Linked DNA regions of Struthio camelus. The protein of the gene in region 2 interacts with the protein of the main gene of each other region in a pairwise test. Links are inferred from orthologs where the notes say so. Each region holds a gene or a part of one and is shown on either strand. Other genes may lie near its edges.

Region 1 (7,623 bases), on a different chromosome or scaffold from region 2:
TGTGTGTGTGTGTGTGTGGGGGGGGGGGGTTTGTTTTGGGGTTTTTTTGGTTTGTTTTTTTTTTTTTTTTGCTGTCATGGTATCGTTTAGTTCAGGTTCATTTGAGATTCCTTTATTGACTTGGACTATCCCAATAGAGAATTTCATAGTGATGGGAAAATAGTTTATGCAGCTCAAAAATTATGAGTCTCTGCAATGTTTTCCTGTCGTTTGTTTAGTGGAGATATTCAAGATACATTTCTGGTCTTAAGTTAGTCTTTATTTTTGCTAGCAGACTATTTTTAAAGCTGACATTTTGGGCTCTGTGTTCAGGCGTATAACAAATTCTAACATAACAATTTTTCTTCAAGTATTTGTGCAGGCGAAATATATATCTATACTAGCATTTCTTGACTTCAGATTACCTACTTGAAGCATCACAGCTCCTTGGAGTAACAACTTTGCTTTTTGTATCTGGCAGCCTGAAGAATAGCAGGTGAAATTCAGCCCCATTTAGCAGTTACAGATATGTCACTGGCCTCAGCAGGATCATGATTTCACGATGAGTAAGGGGCTAGTCCAGCTCCACCCAGAAACCTTACTACAAAACTAGGAGTAAAACATATCATCTCCTGAATTTTACCAGAAATATTACTCCTTTCCTTATTTGTGAGCACAAAAAAGATTTTCATTTTGTATAAGCTGTTGCTTCTTGCATTATCTTGCTTACCTTGTTGGGGATAACTACTCATGTTATGAAAGTAAGATTAAATATCTTGCTTTGAAAATGTGCCTTTTAATTCCCTTTGGCTTTAGCACATACAATATATCAGTTGCTGCTCTTACTCCTCTCTCAGTGTTTGGAGAAATCAGTACTTAGTATGGATTGTATACCAAGCTGAAGAACAGGGGAAAATTCACACTGAGAGCCGTTTCGCAGCTTCGTTGTGAAGTGGAGATCTTGCCTCACCTAAATCGTCCTGCCGTGAGCATCTCGTAGTTTGCTGCTTTGTGGGATGCAGGAATAAATGTTCATAATGAAAGGGCACTTGCAAGGTGTTTCTTGCAGTGCAAGAGTGGTTGTGGGAGGAAGGGAATAAATCTGTTGCCCATATCGCTGGAGGATGGGATGAGTTGTGACAGGCCTCAACAGGGTGGTTCATTTTTGGTTTTAGAAAGCTTTCTGTTGCGAAGGACAGCCCTGCACAGGACTAGGCTGGGGGGGGGGGGGGAGGGGGATGCTGTGGCCTCCGCCTCCCAGGAGCGCTTTGAGAAAAAGCTAGCAAACTGGGCAATTTGGGCAGCCTGAGGAGGTGGCGATGGACTAGATGGTCTCATGAGGTCCAGACCCACCCGAGGTGCAGATTTTTGCGTGACTGGATAACGTAACACAGTGTGAAGGCTGAGCTTGTTTATCAGAGCACTTCTTACGGAGCGAGTTTCCGAGACCTGCGTGTTCACCGAGTGCCCCGGGGCAGGTCGGTGATACCTGTTGGTGTAGGTGACTGGTAATTTCCTGACTCCCAGCTGTGGGCAGCTGAAGCAAGCGAATAGCTGGCTGCATTCTCCAAGAAGACACCCAGCTGTTTGGCTTGCGCTTGCAAGCGATTTCTCCCCATGTTGCTCGTCTCCTAACTGGGTGTGCGAGGCATGGCTGTGATTGTAATAGACGCTGTGGCTCCCCTGCAAATCTTATCAGCTGCATTAGGTGTGCGCGATTCCTTTGGTAGCTTGTAGTTCTCATCATTTAAAATCCCTGGAAAATGACCTGTTGTAGATTTTCTTTGCTGATTTGCATCCACACTGACACACATCGCTTCCTAAGGTGTGCCTCTGATGCTAGTATCTGCAGCACTGCTTTAGAGAAAGAAAAATAAATAATAATACACAAATTATGGAGCAGTGTCTGCAGAAGCTGAGGAGCAGCCTGAGCTATGGCCGCCATGGCCTGGCGAGAGGGTGCTGCCGGTGGCCGCGCCGCGCCGCGGAGACTTGCCTCGCCTCGAGACGCGGCCCCGGGCTGAGCTCGCCGGGGCGATCCCGCGCGGCCGGCTCGCTGCCGCTGACGTCCCCGGGTGAGAGACACGTCCCCGTTCGTTACCGCGTTGTGTTCATGCATGGCACCCAACTTCTTTTTCGGAGCTGGGCATTTAAACTTTTTGAAAGGAAATATCCACTCCACCTTGACCTTTGAGGGGAAAATATTTACTCTCTTGTTTCTAAACTTTAAATATTTAGGTGTTTTTTGAACAAAGTTGTTTATCATGCAGATTTTGGTTCACCTGCAATATATTAATGGATAAAGCAAACAAACTGCTGACTAAAGACATTGTCCTCTGAAAACTGGCAGTTGCACATGGGCAGTCATGTTATGTTCTGAGGTTTTAAATGAATGCAGATTAGTATTAGTTTTTGGCACCCACCAGATAAATTAGTACAGTAATGACTTTGTTTTTATCTGACAGAACAGTTGTTTCTATTAGTCAGAGATTTGACCCGGGGCCTCAGTTGGTCATTTGAGTAAATAGCATTTCATAGTCAAGTTTTTCCTTAAGAGAAACAAATAAACATACCCAAGGAAATAAAGGCTTTGTTTGAACTATGAAGTTTGTGCCACACTACTTAACATCGGGAGTTAACAAATGAGGCTTAATGCAGGTTTTAATTGAATTTAAACTAGCGTGTTCTCCCTGCCAAGCAGCAAGGCGTGCTGCAGTTGTTTTGACTGTATGATAATAATTATTAAGCCGTCAGGTTTGCTGGCAGAAAACGTCTTTGCGCTTCCCATAGAAGCGCAGCCACTTCCGTGAATAGCCATTTTGGTGTGCGCTTTGCGGGGCTGCCGAGGCAGAGACCTCTACCTGAAGCTCGGGTCAGGCCCTGGTTTAACTGGGAGCTGTGTCGCTCTGCAGCGCCTCGTGCTGCTGAAAGCACACCGCCTGCTCGATATTTTACGTTTCTTTGCTGGAATCGCCCTCTCCCCGGGGCTCCTGTGCGTTTTGCCAGATGTCCCGGCGAGGCGACAGCGCTGATGTTCCCCACGTGAGCCGGGCTGCCGCTGGAGGAAGGTGGGAATAAAGAGCGCTTTGTTCCCGCGCAGCAGCCGGCGCTACCTTGACAGCGTGTCGGCTGCCTGAGTGGGAGAGTCCGGCTGTACGCGACGAGCTGATTTCTGTGCGGAGGCAGGACTTTCGGGTTCAGAAGGAAGTGAATTGGATAGGTCAGGAGAACATACCATTTGCAAACACCCCTTTTCCCTTTCCGGCGGCACGCCGGACGCAGAGGCTGCAGGCGGCTGTGCTGGCGGTGGTGCGGGAGGCAGAGCCGCGGGAAAGCCAGCTGCAGCCGCGCAAGCTCGCTTTTTCCGCAGGGATTCGCCGGGGGAAGCGCTTTGGAGACTAACATGGTTTAATCCACTCGCTGCATGTTGGGTAAATTCAAAACCCACATGCTCGTCCTCTTGCAGTGGAATAAGTCACATCTGATGGACGTTTTCTGTGCTTATAGCATAGTAATGAACGTCTGACAGGCGCGACCTTTCATAAGACAGCCCACACTATTGGCTTTCTGCCCAGAATATTGCTGCAACACTATCTGTGATTGGTTATCTCCCTATCATGCATTGCTTCACAAGGGAAAACGGCCCCTTTTTTAATAAATCTACGATGGCTGGCTGCAATATGCTACACTGTAAGTACGCTGTGCGAGGGAAGCAGGCAGGCTGTAATGCTGCGTAGTACTCTAGGATCACATGGCAAGGCGGTAATGCTGTGGGACACCGGTGAAATGCTGCTCGGTAAATTTTAACGTATCTGTTTTTTCTACAGGTTGGTACTAAGAAGTGCCTTTCCTGACGTCTCTGCTGCTTGGAACCGCTTCTAGAGCAGTCTCTGCTTTTTGCCTTGCTTGCTGCCAGCTAGACTGCGACGACAGCACATCCACCCTCCACCTCTAGCCCAGACACCCCCATTTCTACTTATAATCAAGAGAAAAGCTCTATCAGGCATTGCCATAGGCTGCTTTAGTATAAAAATAAAAGTTTGCTGGGAAAGTAAGATATCTTCTGCCAGAAAATCAAGGAGAGGAAAAAAAATTTCTCGATTGTTGCTCTAAACTGCTGCATCTGTCTATGCCAAACTAATCAATACCGATTGCACCACAAAACCCAATTGCAAATTCAGCTGTGTGGAGATTACCTTTCAGACAACTTTACTGAAAGCAGCTTGGAAATTCTGTGTCAAAGGGTCTGCCACGTTTTTATGCTTGCATTTTGGGCTCCAATTGGCACTCAGAATGGGTTACTGAGAGCACAAGGCTAGTTCCAGGCCACACTTTTTAACGTTCATCTTACTTATAATCCTAGCGTTTCTTGAAATACAAAACCTCTGTCAATTAACAGTTTCATGCTGTGAACTTCTAGTGGCAAATCTTTTCCTTGATATTGTGACCACACGATTTTACATGTACTTTTAAAATAGGGAGCGGGGGAAAAAAGCATTCTGGAGGTGACATTTTCATCATTTCCAGTTTCTCAGTTCAGCTCTTTGTTTGTTCGTTTTACTGAAAATTTTAACTACCTGTAAAATCTAAACATGGCTGTTAGTGTCACACCGATTCGGGACACAAAATGGCTCACACTGGAAGTGTGTAGAGAGTTCCAAAGAGGGACTTGCTCCCGGCCAGACACGGAATGTAAATTTGCACATCCATCGAAAAGCTGCCAAGTTGAAAATGGACGCGTAATCGCCTGCTTTGATTCATTGAAAGTGAGTAAATATTATATTATTTTCAAGGATATAGAGTTAATGAAAGAAGGAATTATAGCTAGAGAAACCGTGGAGTCCAAAAGAGAGAAACTGCTGTCTGTGCTACCAGGGAGAGCTTTTATTATAATCTTTATTGATCATTGCTGTTTTGTTTTGTTATTTTCTTCAGGGGAAGGGGAAGGATAGAGGGAATAAGAGGAAAATAAGCCTAACAGAGTTTGAATCATTTGGCATGGCTGCAATTATTAGTCCTTTGACTCTAAATTATTCTTTGTGTGTAGCTAGAATAAAGGGCATTTCACTTAGAAATAGCTAAGTCACTGTAAAGACTCCTTTGTTTTTAATAGCACAAAACACATGCTCTGTGATGATTTGTTTCCATCTTGTAACTACAAGTGGCTTGTTGATGTCTCAGGACAGTAGACACTGAATCTTGGAAAAGTGTTTTCCTTCGTAAATTATTTGGGTGTTTGTGGAGAGTGTGTTTATGTGTCTGTGTTTGGAACATCTGTGGTTATCCTTTCTCTTTTACAAATACGTCTGTGTAAGGAAAGGATAACGCTTAGCAGAAAGCAAGGTACTCTAGATGCGCAAGCAGAGCTGTGTAGGGAGGTGACAGCCTTACTGTGGTTTTTAGGAAGTCTCTATGAGTTTGGCAGTGCAAACGTGAGCCTGTTATTTTAATATATCTGTAGTTTCAGTGACCAGTTGTTAGATGTGGATTTCCAGCTCCTTCCCTTCGTTTTTATGAATTAAATCATCTCAAAAAGTGAAATAACTGTCCCACAAACAGTATCTTAATTCAGTAAGACTCCTAAAGATCAAAAGTTGAGAAAATATGTCTGTCTGCTTTTCCTGCAGTATAATTTTGCTCTTCTTGGGCCCAAATCCTGCAAGTGTGGGGAGTTTGCCATGCCCAGCAGCGTCGTGCGTGCAGGGAGGAAGTGCTGTGGCTGTACCCAGCTGCAGCAGGTTGCACCAGCAACCGGCTCATGAGCACGGTTAGAGCTAGGCAGGAAGTGGGCTTACAGTGGTTTTATATAAATCCTGCAACACTTTTGAGTTTACAAATGTGTATTGTCTTGTTTTAGGTCAGAATAGAAGGTGAACCTTTAAAATATTTTCAAGTCTGAAATACCCAGCCACCCCAAATTATATTTTAACTGATGGCAATTGAGATATTTTGTTTCAGTGCTGTTTCGATTTTCAATTTTTTTATTTTAAAATTACTGTAATTACAATGCATAGGAAAAAAGCAAAAAAAAAAAATCTTCAAATGTGAAAACAAAATGTTTCCAGACATTAAAGAAAAAGATTTTTTTTTCTTTTGAGCTAGACAACAGTTCTGAAACCCAGCTGGATTTGGTGAAAAGTTTTGGCTTTGAGGCATGACCGTTTCCTGGGGAGCGCGGCTGCAGCTCGGGCCGGCCCGGTGGCAGTGAGTGCCGCGCAGCAGCCGGGGCGTTTCCTGGGCTCGCGGCGGCAGCTGGGGACGGGAAGCTGCCCCACGGGGCCGGCTGCTGCTCGGGCGCAGCCGCGGCCACGCGTGCGTTTTGCAGGGGCGTTGGCGACGGGGAGGCCTCGCAGAGCTGGCGCCCGTTGGGTTGTAACGTCACCACGTTGCAGCCGAGGTGTCTGAAACTGAAGCGGAGCTCTGGAGCTTTAAAAACATCTTTTTGTGAAAGGAGGCGAGAATGATGATGTATCTGCTGGTAAAATAGTATCCAGTAGTATCCTCGTGGTTTATTTTCCTGGTTAATTGCTTTCCCTCGTTTGGTTACGTGGAGCATCATAACCATACTGCCTCGCCCAAATGTCTCTTATTTTTTAAGAAAGACGATGCAACCAAAAAAGGCTGAAACAAGATACCAAAGTTAATTGAATGTGAATCTTGTTCACCATGGGAAGTACCATCTGAGAGCAGTATAAATCAGCGTCATGAGCAGAGCTTTCTGACTTTCATGATGATATGAAGCGCGGTAAAGATTCAGCACAGAGCGGAGAAGTGAGCAGAGCAGCAGTTGGGGTCGGGGTTTGGGTGGGAGATGCAGAACAGGGGCTCGCGCGGCGTTTCTCTTGCTGGCGGTGCTGCTAGCTCTTGTATTGCCTTGAGCAAGATTCTTCAGTTTCCTTATTTTTAAATGAAGGAGATAATTACCACCTTTGTAAAGAACTGCAAGACCTCTGGATAATATCCAAAGGTAATATTATGGCATTATTGCATTGCTTCAAAATATTCTGTGGAAAAGACTATTCTTGTTGCCTGTGAAAATCGGCGTGGTGAGTGAGTTGTAAGCTTGGGTGGAATTCTGGCCAGATATGCTATTTAAAAATGTACTGCTTAGCAGATACGTTTACTTGTGTTAATGTGAAACGGTGTGCTTTTGGCTCAGCTGCTTCACCGTGGGCTCTGTGCTGGAGGGTCCCGCGGGGATCAGGTGGGATGCCGTTTTTTTGCAGGCTGGAGAGCACCAGCTAGCAGCCTGTGGCACTGTCACTGCCCAGGAGACCCAGGAAAGCTCTTTCCAAGCCTGCCTGTAGGATAGCAGGAACAGGGTAACATGACATCTACTTTGCCAGTATGTCTATGAGCAGACTGTTGAGCTTTTTTGGCCAGGGGATTCTTAGTTTAGGTTGGTTGTATCATGTAAGACAATTCCGTTGGTAAACAGAAAATGGCACGTATCTCTTCATTGAATTCCCTGTCCCATGCAAATAGTAGAAAAGCACTTATTCAGCTTTGATTTTGTTTCAGATTTTTGCAAATTTTTGTGTGTGTGCTGAGCTGGTTACTTTGTTATGTTTTCTCCAATATCACAAATATTAGATATTATGCAAAAAAAATTTAGAGAAGTGTTACAGCAGACTGTCTGGACTC
Region 2 (7,824 bases):
CAACACAGGTTATCTAAGGCTCATATCTCTTTCACTCTGTGAGCTTTATGGGTTTGGCCTCCTGACACACTGGTTATCTTTCTTTCCCAGCACTTCTCAAATCCTAAAGGGAGGGCAGTCACCTTTATGTTCAAAATTGTGGCCTGGGTGCTTGGATTCAGGCAGTCAGATGGGAAAGCTCATTGGTTTTATTCTTAAATGGAGATTTTGTTGGCTGCTAATTTGTTGAGCGAACATTTAGGCAAAAATAGTTGGGACAGCAGCTTCAGTCAATATGCAGAGCCCTCGTTCCACTCTTGCCCCTCGTAGGTCTCTCTGCTTTCCTTTCTCTGCGTGCTTCCCTGTCATTTTGATCCCTGCATCCCTACATAGTCCTGACCAGTTGTGATGGATGGCTTTTCTTTTGTTCTCTCTAGAAACAGGGAACCTTGAGCCCTAAATCTCCCTGAGAACTCAGTTGTAATCTTTCCTTAAAAATTTCTAAAAGTTCTTGCTCCCGACTGCGCATTTTAGATTGATAGTGTTGTGTGACGCATACCCAGACTCTTATTTTATTTTAGCTGGCTCCATGCGTACTACTACTTTGTGAGATTTGCCATACATAGCGAAAGATTGACTGACCCCAGTTCCCTGCCACAGTATTAGTGTCTGGTCAAGTGACTATAAAAACGAATACTACTGTTTTGTGCTTAACTGTGAATGCGAATGTGTGTGTTTAGAGAGTGTCACCTTTGAAAATCAGACTCACAGTATGCACTTTATCCTGAAAAGTTAACAAAAATTCAGGTTAGCAATAGCATATAAAGTGTGTGTGTGTGTGTGTGTGTGTGTGCGCGCAAGCCTTTTCCTGAGATAACTAAGAAATACACCTAAAACCCCGTACCATTTAGGTGAAGGACAAGGTAAGAGCAAAGCAGACGCATCAGCTGTCTCCAGGGCAGTTATTCTGTGGAAGGAGGCAGACCAGCACAGCAGGCAGCAAACGTTTTTTTCCAGAGCCTGGAAGTGAGTGGTGTGTAGGCAGGCATGAAGAAGAAACCCTGCATTGCTTTTATTGTCAGTCTGCTTGTCAAACTGCCTTGTTAGGTAGGGATAGTAAGATGGAAAATAGACCAATATTTGACTTCTTTTTGTGTGTATATGTGAAAGCAATAATTCTTAGGAGGGGCTTATTATTAAAATGTACTTGCTAGTGCCAAATATTAAATGCAGAGAATTAAGACATAGATGCATAACCATGCACATAGCAAGACAAAGAGGAAACAGATGGTTTGTTAGCTAGTTAGACCTCTTCTTAACTCAGAGCTGTTAGTCCTGAGAGATTTGTTCTTTCTGTTTTCAACTTTGCTTGGGCCCTTCCACAAGACAGCCTTGTTTATTCGTAATGTTGCCTGTGCTCGACACCTTGTTCCACTTAGTCTGTGCTTTCAGTGCAGGACACTGGACAGGCAGCAGCAGGCTTGCAGAATGCGAAAGAAGGGTGAAGTAACAGGTAAAGGAGAAGAGAGAGAGAATGGGATGCTGAGCGTGTATTTTCTGTCCATCCTCACGTTGCTAAGGGACCCGAGAAGAGAAGGACGGAAAGCTGTACCAGCACTCGAACGGACACAGCTTGTTCCCCGCTGCAGCTTGTGAACGTCACCTCCCTTGTGTGCGCCAGGCTGGTGTTCCTCTCGAGCAGGGTGATGAGGGCAGCGGAGCCCACTCTGTGGGAAGGATGGCTGACAAGGATGGGAAACAGTGATGCGGTGGCATCGCTGACGTTGTGTGTGTGGTCTCTCAGCTGATTCAGCGGTATTGCCAGAGTCTCACTGTGCTCCAAGGAGGGGCTGAGGAATGTTTTATCATTAAATTGCATATGACTGAGATTGGCTGAATTAACGTATCCCAGTGGATGAGAGCTATATGATAGGAATTTGATTACTCCTGTTGTATGATTTGAGTTGCTCATAATTGCAAAGGTTCTTTCCAGCGTCTGTGAAACAACTGAGGTTGAACATTAGTGGTTGCAGTTGCCGGCAGTGTTGGCATAGCAGGCTTTATTATTTCAAATATTTCACACTTATGGCAGCTGTTGCACCTTCTGTGCTTTTGGTTTGATGCAGTGAATACATCCTTTTTAGCAATTCTTTTCTTAAGATGAACAGCAAAGCAAAAAAGCAGCCTTTCACATCACAGTGCATAGAGTATTTCTGCACATTTTGAAAAAGATTTATGTTTTTCCCGTTTCTGACATTTGAAACAGTAAGTCTTGGTTTTGGTTTTTGCTGAATCAGTGGCTCAGGCAGTCACTACATGGCAGCAGGCTGAAATGAAAGCAATGAGAGGTAAAAAACCATCATGTTTGCTGAGATTGTTCTAAATTCTGTTAGTGTTTAATACCCACTTGCCCGCCCAAGTATTTCAATACTGTTTATCACTGTGATATCTGAGTGCTTCGTTAATAAGTGTATCCTTGTCTATCATTCTGAGATATTGTATCGCTGTTCTCCTAGTGGGAGATTTTAGTCACAGAGAGATCACAGAGCTGATTTTCCAGCAGTGTCAAGGCAGGAACACTGATAACTTAACACCTCTGAAACAAAGTCCAAGTTGTACATCCAGAGCCACAGGAGATTGTTGTGTCTTAGCCAGGAATGAACCCTGCATCCTGCAAGCCCTCCTTGAGCTCTCAAAACGTGTGGTTGGCCCCTTTCCTTCCGTCCTGCTGAAGTGTTAGAGAGCGTTCTCTCTGTGCAACATTCAGTATCCCCTTCCCTGACATCAGTCTGGCAGAGTTTCTGTTCCAGTTCTGCTGGTGAGCTGTCAGTAAAAATGTGACCCAAGTGAAAATACATCTAGGGCAAACACAGGAAATCTCTTTTAGCAATTTTCCCTGTATTTTAGGGAGAATTACTGTCAATTTGTCTCTTTCAGGCGAGACTGCATGAAAAGCAGGTTTATTTGCATTTAGCATTTCACTGTCATTAAGAAGTTTTTTTTGCATAATGCATTTGACCACTGGTAGCCAGCAGATTTTGCCATCATTTAGAAGGAGGTGAACACCATTAAAAAAACCTCCCAGGTCAAAATGGACAATAAATATAGGTAAGAATTTGCATAGAGGAATCCGGCTGCTCGGCGCACACGCGCTCAGCTGGCGCCTTTGTCACAGGTACGGGTTCTGTATGTGGTTCCCCAGTGCACTGTGGAATTTGAATTGTTCCCTTCACACAGCATGGACAAGCTCTCACACTCCTTCTGCTTCAGGCTCTTTTGCAAAGGCAAATGGCACTGCTGGAAACTAATCAACGTAATTTTGTACTCTTCACAGAGGTCTATTAGCAATCATTGACGCAATCCTGGGCTGTAAATGGGGACAGCCTATTCCTAAATTCAAACACAGAAATGTTTTGTATTTTCTATAAAATATTATTGACCTGGCCTGTTTCTGGCCTGCCCGTTTCTGGGCTTTTTGTGCTTATGTTTTCCCTTTTCCCCCAGATGCTGTAACAGGCTGTCAGACGGAGATGCTGCTGAGGATTTTGAAAAAGCTCAAATGATAAAGAATAGGGAAAAACTAACATCACTACTATTGTAGCAGCCTTGCACAACCTTTTCCTATACACATGTACAGAAATAAAGTACAAATAGTAGTTTTATTAAACAAGACACAGACACTTATTTTTTATCCTTTCTGCCAAAGGAGAAGAAATATCTTCATTTTCTCCACACAGACACAGCTTTCTTCATGTAAAATCCCATTGGAGACAAAGCACTGCATGTTTATCATGACTATGCTAAGCACAACAGTCCTTAGGGTAGACTTCCTCTAGTTGCATTTCTATAGCAATGTTATTAGCCCAACTTTTGCAGCCGAATAACTAGTTTGGGTTAGTTAAAGACAAGCAAGCAACTTGTTCCTGGTGTGAGAATGCAACCTAAGTTGAGTTGCCAAGCGCCGTGAAGGAAATCCGTAGAGTAGGGACGGATGGTGTTACGTTCTCAGGTGACTACAGTAACCGCTGAATCGTATTTCCTTTTTCTGTTGAGCATATACATTGAGAACGGTTACCTTAATTGATAAATGCAGCTTTGGGTAAAAGTTTCACTGGGTCTCAAAGGGAAACCATTTGAATTCCCCCCGACCTTGCCCTGGCTTCTCTGAGTGCCTGGGGATGAAGGCTGTGGCTGCTTTTACACATGCAGCCAACTTGTTTCACTGGGCCCATTTGGAGGGATTTAAGTCTCAAAATGAGTGTGAAAGCTGAAGTTTGCATGTCATCCAAGGGCTTGCACATTTGTCAGAATAGAAATGATAAGGATCATTAATTTGTACATATGTGAATTAGGAACTGGAGAGGGTTTCCTGATAACCAGCAGTAACGTGATGTACTCCGTCCCAGTCATGCCAAGGCTGAGACGTGTTGATTGCCTCCAGGGTTAACCTCGCAGCTTTCGTGCAGCGTAAAAGCAGCTTGTTCTGCCCACCATGTGGCCCTGGAGTACAGGCAGGAAAGGTCACACGAGCAATCAAGATCAGCATATCCCTACTCAGGTGGGGACCCCCTGTGGCTGCAGGATTAGCAGCAGAGTCTGAGCTGACTTTGAATATGTATTTACTTCTAAATGTCCCGACTCTGTTCCAGGCATTTTTTGACTCATTAATCTGTGTCCATATTTGCCATGAACTTGGACACACAGTGCAACGACATTCACTGTTTCTTGCTGTTTGTCTGCTTGCTGTCCTGGCTGAATTTTTGAAAAATAAAAACAGGAGGAATTAAAAGGTTAGATTATTTTCTTCGTATGTCTCTGTGCAGGAGTGAGCGGTAACTGGCAGGCTGCTTTGAGACCTTTGCTGATGATGCCACTTGAACAAGGATTCTACAAGAAAACGAATAGTAAGAATCTGCAATTATCAGATAATATTTTTTAAAATACAACAGAAATTTTCTAAAATAGGTGGATTTTTAGAGGCATGATTTTGGGTGTGTTCAGCAGGAGCTGTACATCTGAACCCCTCGCATCACGTCTAGAATCTGGGTACGTGAGTTTTGAACTGAAACTTAAAGGCAGACAAAAATTTAGTTTCCCCTTTTCTCTCTGCCATTCCCACAACATTTGGGAAAGCTGTAGAAGCACATTTGCTTCAGCTAAATCCCTCTGCACTCCCCTCATCCTCTCGGTACCTGCACTGCCAGAAAACAGTGCTGGAGCAAGGGGCAGCAGTGCACGCATGTAGTGCTGTCTGCCAGGCAGATATTTGCCAGGGAGAAGTCACTGACCTCCTTGTTTCCTCAGCCCTGGAGATCTTTGCTCTATCGTTGCTGATCCTCCCAAGGTGGGGGTGGGGGTGCTGATGTCTACCCTTGGAGGAGGGTAGCACTTAATCTTATCATCCGTCTCGGCTGACATCCCCACTGATGTTGTAGAGTACCTCTGGGGGCAACCCCCCAGACGACAGCAGTGCAAGAGGTGACCGTTCCCGAGGATCCTCTAAACGAATCCTCAGCGTTTTCATTAAAAAGAGACGCTCCTGCTGGACAATTATGGATTGCGACTCTCCCATTTTTCCACAGGCAGAGAGCTTATGTAAAAACTGACTGACATTTAAAAATGCCAGCAATCTTATTAATTCTTCAGTTCAAGATGTGTTTCTTGGGGCTTTGCATGTGGAATGCCACTCGGAGGACAGAAGGGTGATGCAGCCACACTGGCAGAATCAAGCTCTTTACACAAATACTGCACTCTTTTAAGTGTTACTTCTTTAAATTGTGTGTTTACCATGTAACTTCTGACTAACTGGGAAATGCACTTGTGAAGGTTAAGGCACCTAGTGCCCCTGAGAGTTACAGCTGTGTGAATACAAGCTCTTTGTGCTCTGTCCCATGACTGACCTCTTTCTGACTTGAGAAGAGTCCCTTCTGCAGGAATTAAAGGCTGTTCTGTCTTCCTGCTCGCTCAGAGATGTGCTGCTTGCCTTTCTCCTAGGCAGAGTGCACCATTGCGGATTACTATCCACCAGCAATTCAAACGGCATTGCTAAGGGTATTGCACTTATTCCAGGATCACAAGCTAAATTCAAAGCAAAGGACAGAATGTGTCATGGCTTTTCTCCTCTGTCCCCTGAAGGATTGAGAGGCCACCCACATTAGCATGGCTGCTTCCTCTTCTCGCTTCCCAGTTTGTGGTAACTGGCACTGCAGAAAAGGTGTACCACTTGTCTGAGGAGACTGGGGTTCAGCTAAGGATCTGCCAGAACAAAATACAACCTATTTCCCCACTGTATTGTTTGCTATGTGCTGAGTTACAGTTAATCTCTCTGCAGCGGGGCCAAAGGGGCATGCTTTCCAGTGGACAAATTCTTCTGTGAAATGCCTTTGCACAGCTTCCACTGCCTTTATGGAGAGCTACCGGGCAGAATTTGGTCCCAGGCTGGTCAGATCATGCAGTTCAAAGGACAAAGCGCATTCCCCTTCTGATGGCTGGTTTAATAGATGACTGACATACTGCTGCCAGCTTATGGTTACTCCTTTATCGCAAGGAGGAGAGCTTGGGGCAAGGGCGACAGCTCAGACACCGCTGGTTTCCCATGCCAGTTAAAGTGACTAGGATTATGTGTGTTTGCTGTATGCCAGATATATGTATATTTTTACATCAAATTTGTTACTCTATATTGAAAGCCATTCCCACTGGCTGGTAAGTATATTGTTTTGTTGGATGTAAATCTATCCATGTGTTAAACATACAAAATTAGAGCCAAGCTTGCTTCACGTCTCAATCTCCAGTGACCATCCAGTAAATAGCAGCTCTTGAACTGCTGGCTGAATCTGTTGGCAGAAAAGTACAGGTGTAGATCAGTCTTAAAGGAATGACTCCTTGCAGCAAGGTTAGGAGAGAAAAGAGTGGAGGAGAGGCAGGGGAAGGTTTCTTTGGTTGTTTTTTATACAATGGCTGCTACTGCATTAGCAATTGCATTTAGTGTTTATCAGGTGAAGAAATCAGATGGCTTCCAATTCCTGCCATTGGTAAGGAGCTGCTTTTTGCTGAAAATGGGAAGGATACATGAAATCATCTCAGAGCAAGAGGTTGTGCATGCATTAAGGTGACGAATCAGGTTAATAATGGGCTGAGCCGTGTGTAAGCCATAGGTGTTGGCCACAAATTGTGAAGACACTGTCAGTGGGTCAGAGCAAGGTCTTAAATCTTTTTTTTGAGAGCTTTTATTCTTTGACCTGGTTCACTGCAGGGGAATGAGTTTCAATTTGGAATAAATTTTGACCCAAATAATTGAAAGTTAATCTCACTTTATTTTGCATAATGCTTTATAATAATACAAATGTAACATGTTTAGTCTGGGACCTAGAGGCCAGCAATCTATGGAAGCTGACACTTTGCATAAAAGCAACCTAGAAAAGGTCCTGAGTTTATCTATTCAAACTGATAGCAGCACTTCAGAAGATTGACCCTTCAACCTTTTTAATAATGACTTCCCCTCCTTTATTTAGTTTTTTGGGTTCCCTTGCAGATATTCATTTGTGACACTTAGCAATTACGTTATGTGCAGTATTGTACATGTGAACTGAATAGTTCACTAGGTCAAGCAAATGCAGAAGAGATCGAACCAAACTGATAGAGTGAAAAAAACTGAACTATAATAAAATAAGTGTATGCAGGTCAAGTGCTGCCTGAATGAAGCAATGTATTGGTAGAAGTTAGTAGACACAATATACCTTCCTTCTTGGGATGTTATCAAGGAAATATGCAGTCAGTGAAGCAGAAAACTGCAAAATTGTTTAATAAAATTAATCCTCAACTGTGAACAGCAAAAATGTCAGGCTT

The links.
Region 1: the proteins of DAB1 (region 2) and MBNL1 interact in binary tests that used the Homo sapiens proteins (3 or more experiments, as listed by UniProt). The link is inferred for Struthio camelus from reciprocal best matches to the Homo sapiens genes DAB1 and MBNL1.

What each region holds. Positions count from the first base shown.
Region 1 is NC_090950.1:33,346,039-33,353,661, reverse strand, and holds the start of MBNL1 (muscleblind-like protein 1), read left to right. Parts: upstream 1-4,607; 5' UTR 4,608-4,745; intron 4,746-6,699; exon of another isoform or gene 6,700-6,714; coding exon of another isoform or gene 6,715-6,750; intron 6,751-7,623. UniProt on the Homo sapiens protein: Mediates pre-mRNA alternative splicing regulation. Acts either as activator or repressor of splicing on specific pre-mRNA targets. Inhibits cardiac troponin-T (TNNT2) pre-mRNA exon inclusion but induces insulin receptor (IR) pre-mRNA exon inclusion in muscle.
Region 2 is NC_090949.1:33,984,664-33,992,487, reverse strand, and holds the start of DAB1 (disabled homolog 1), read left to right. Parts: upstream 1-4,816; 5' UTR 4,817-4,883; intron 4,884-7,824. UniProt on the Homo sapiens protein: Signaling adapter of the reelin-mediated signaling pathway, which regulates the migration and differentiation of postmitotic neurons during brain development.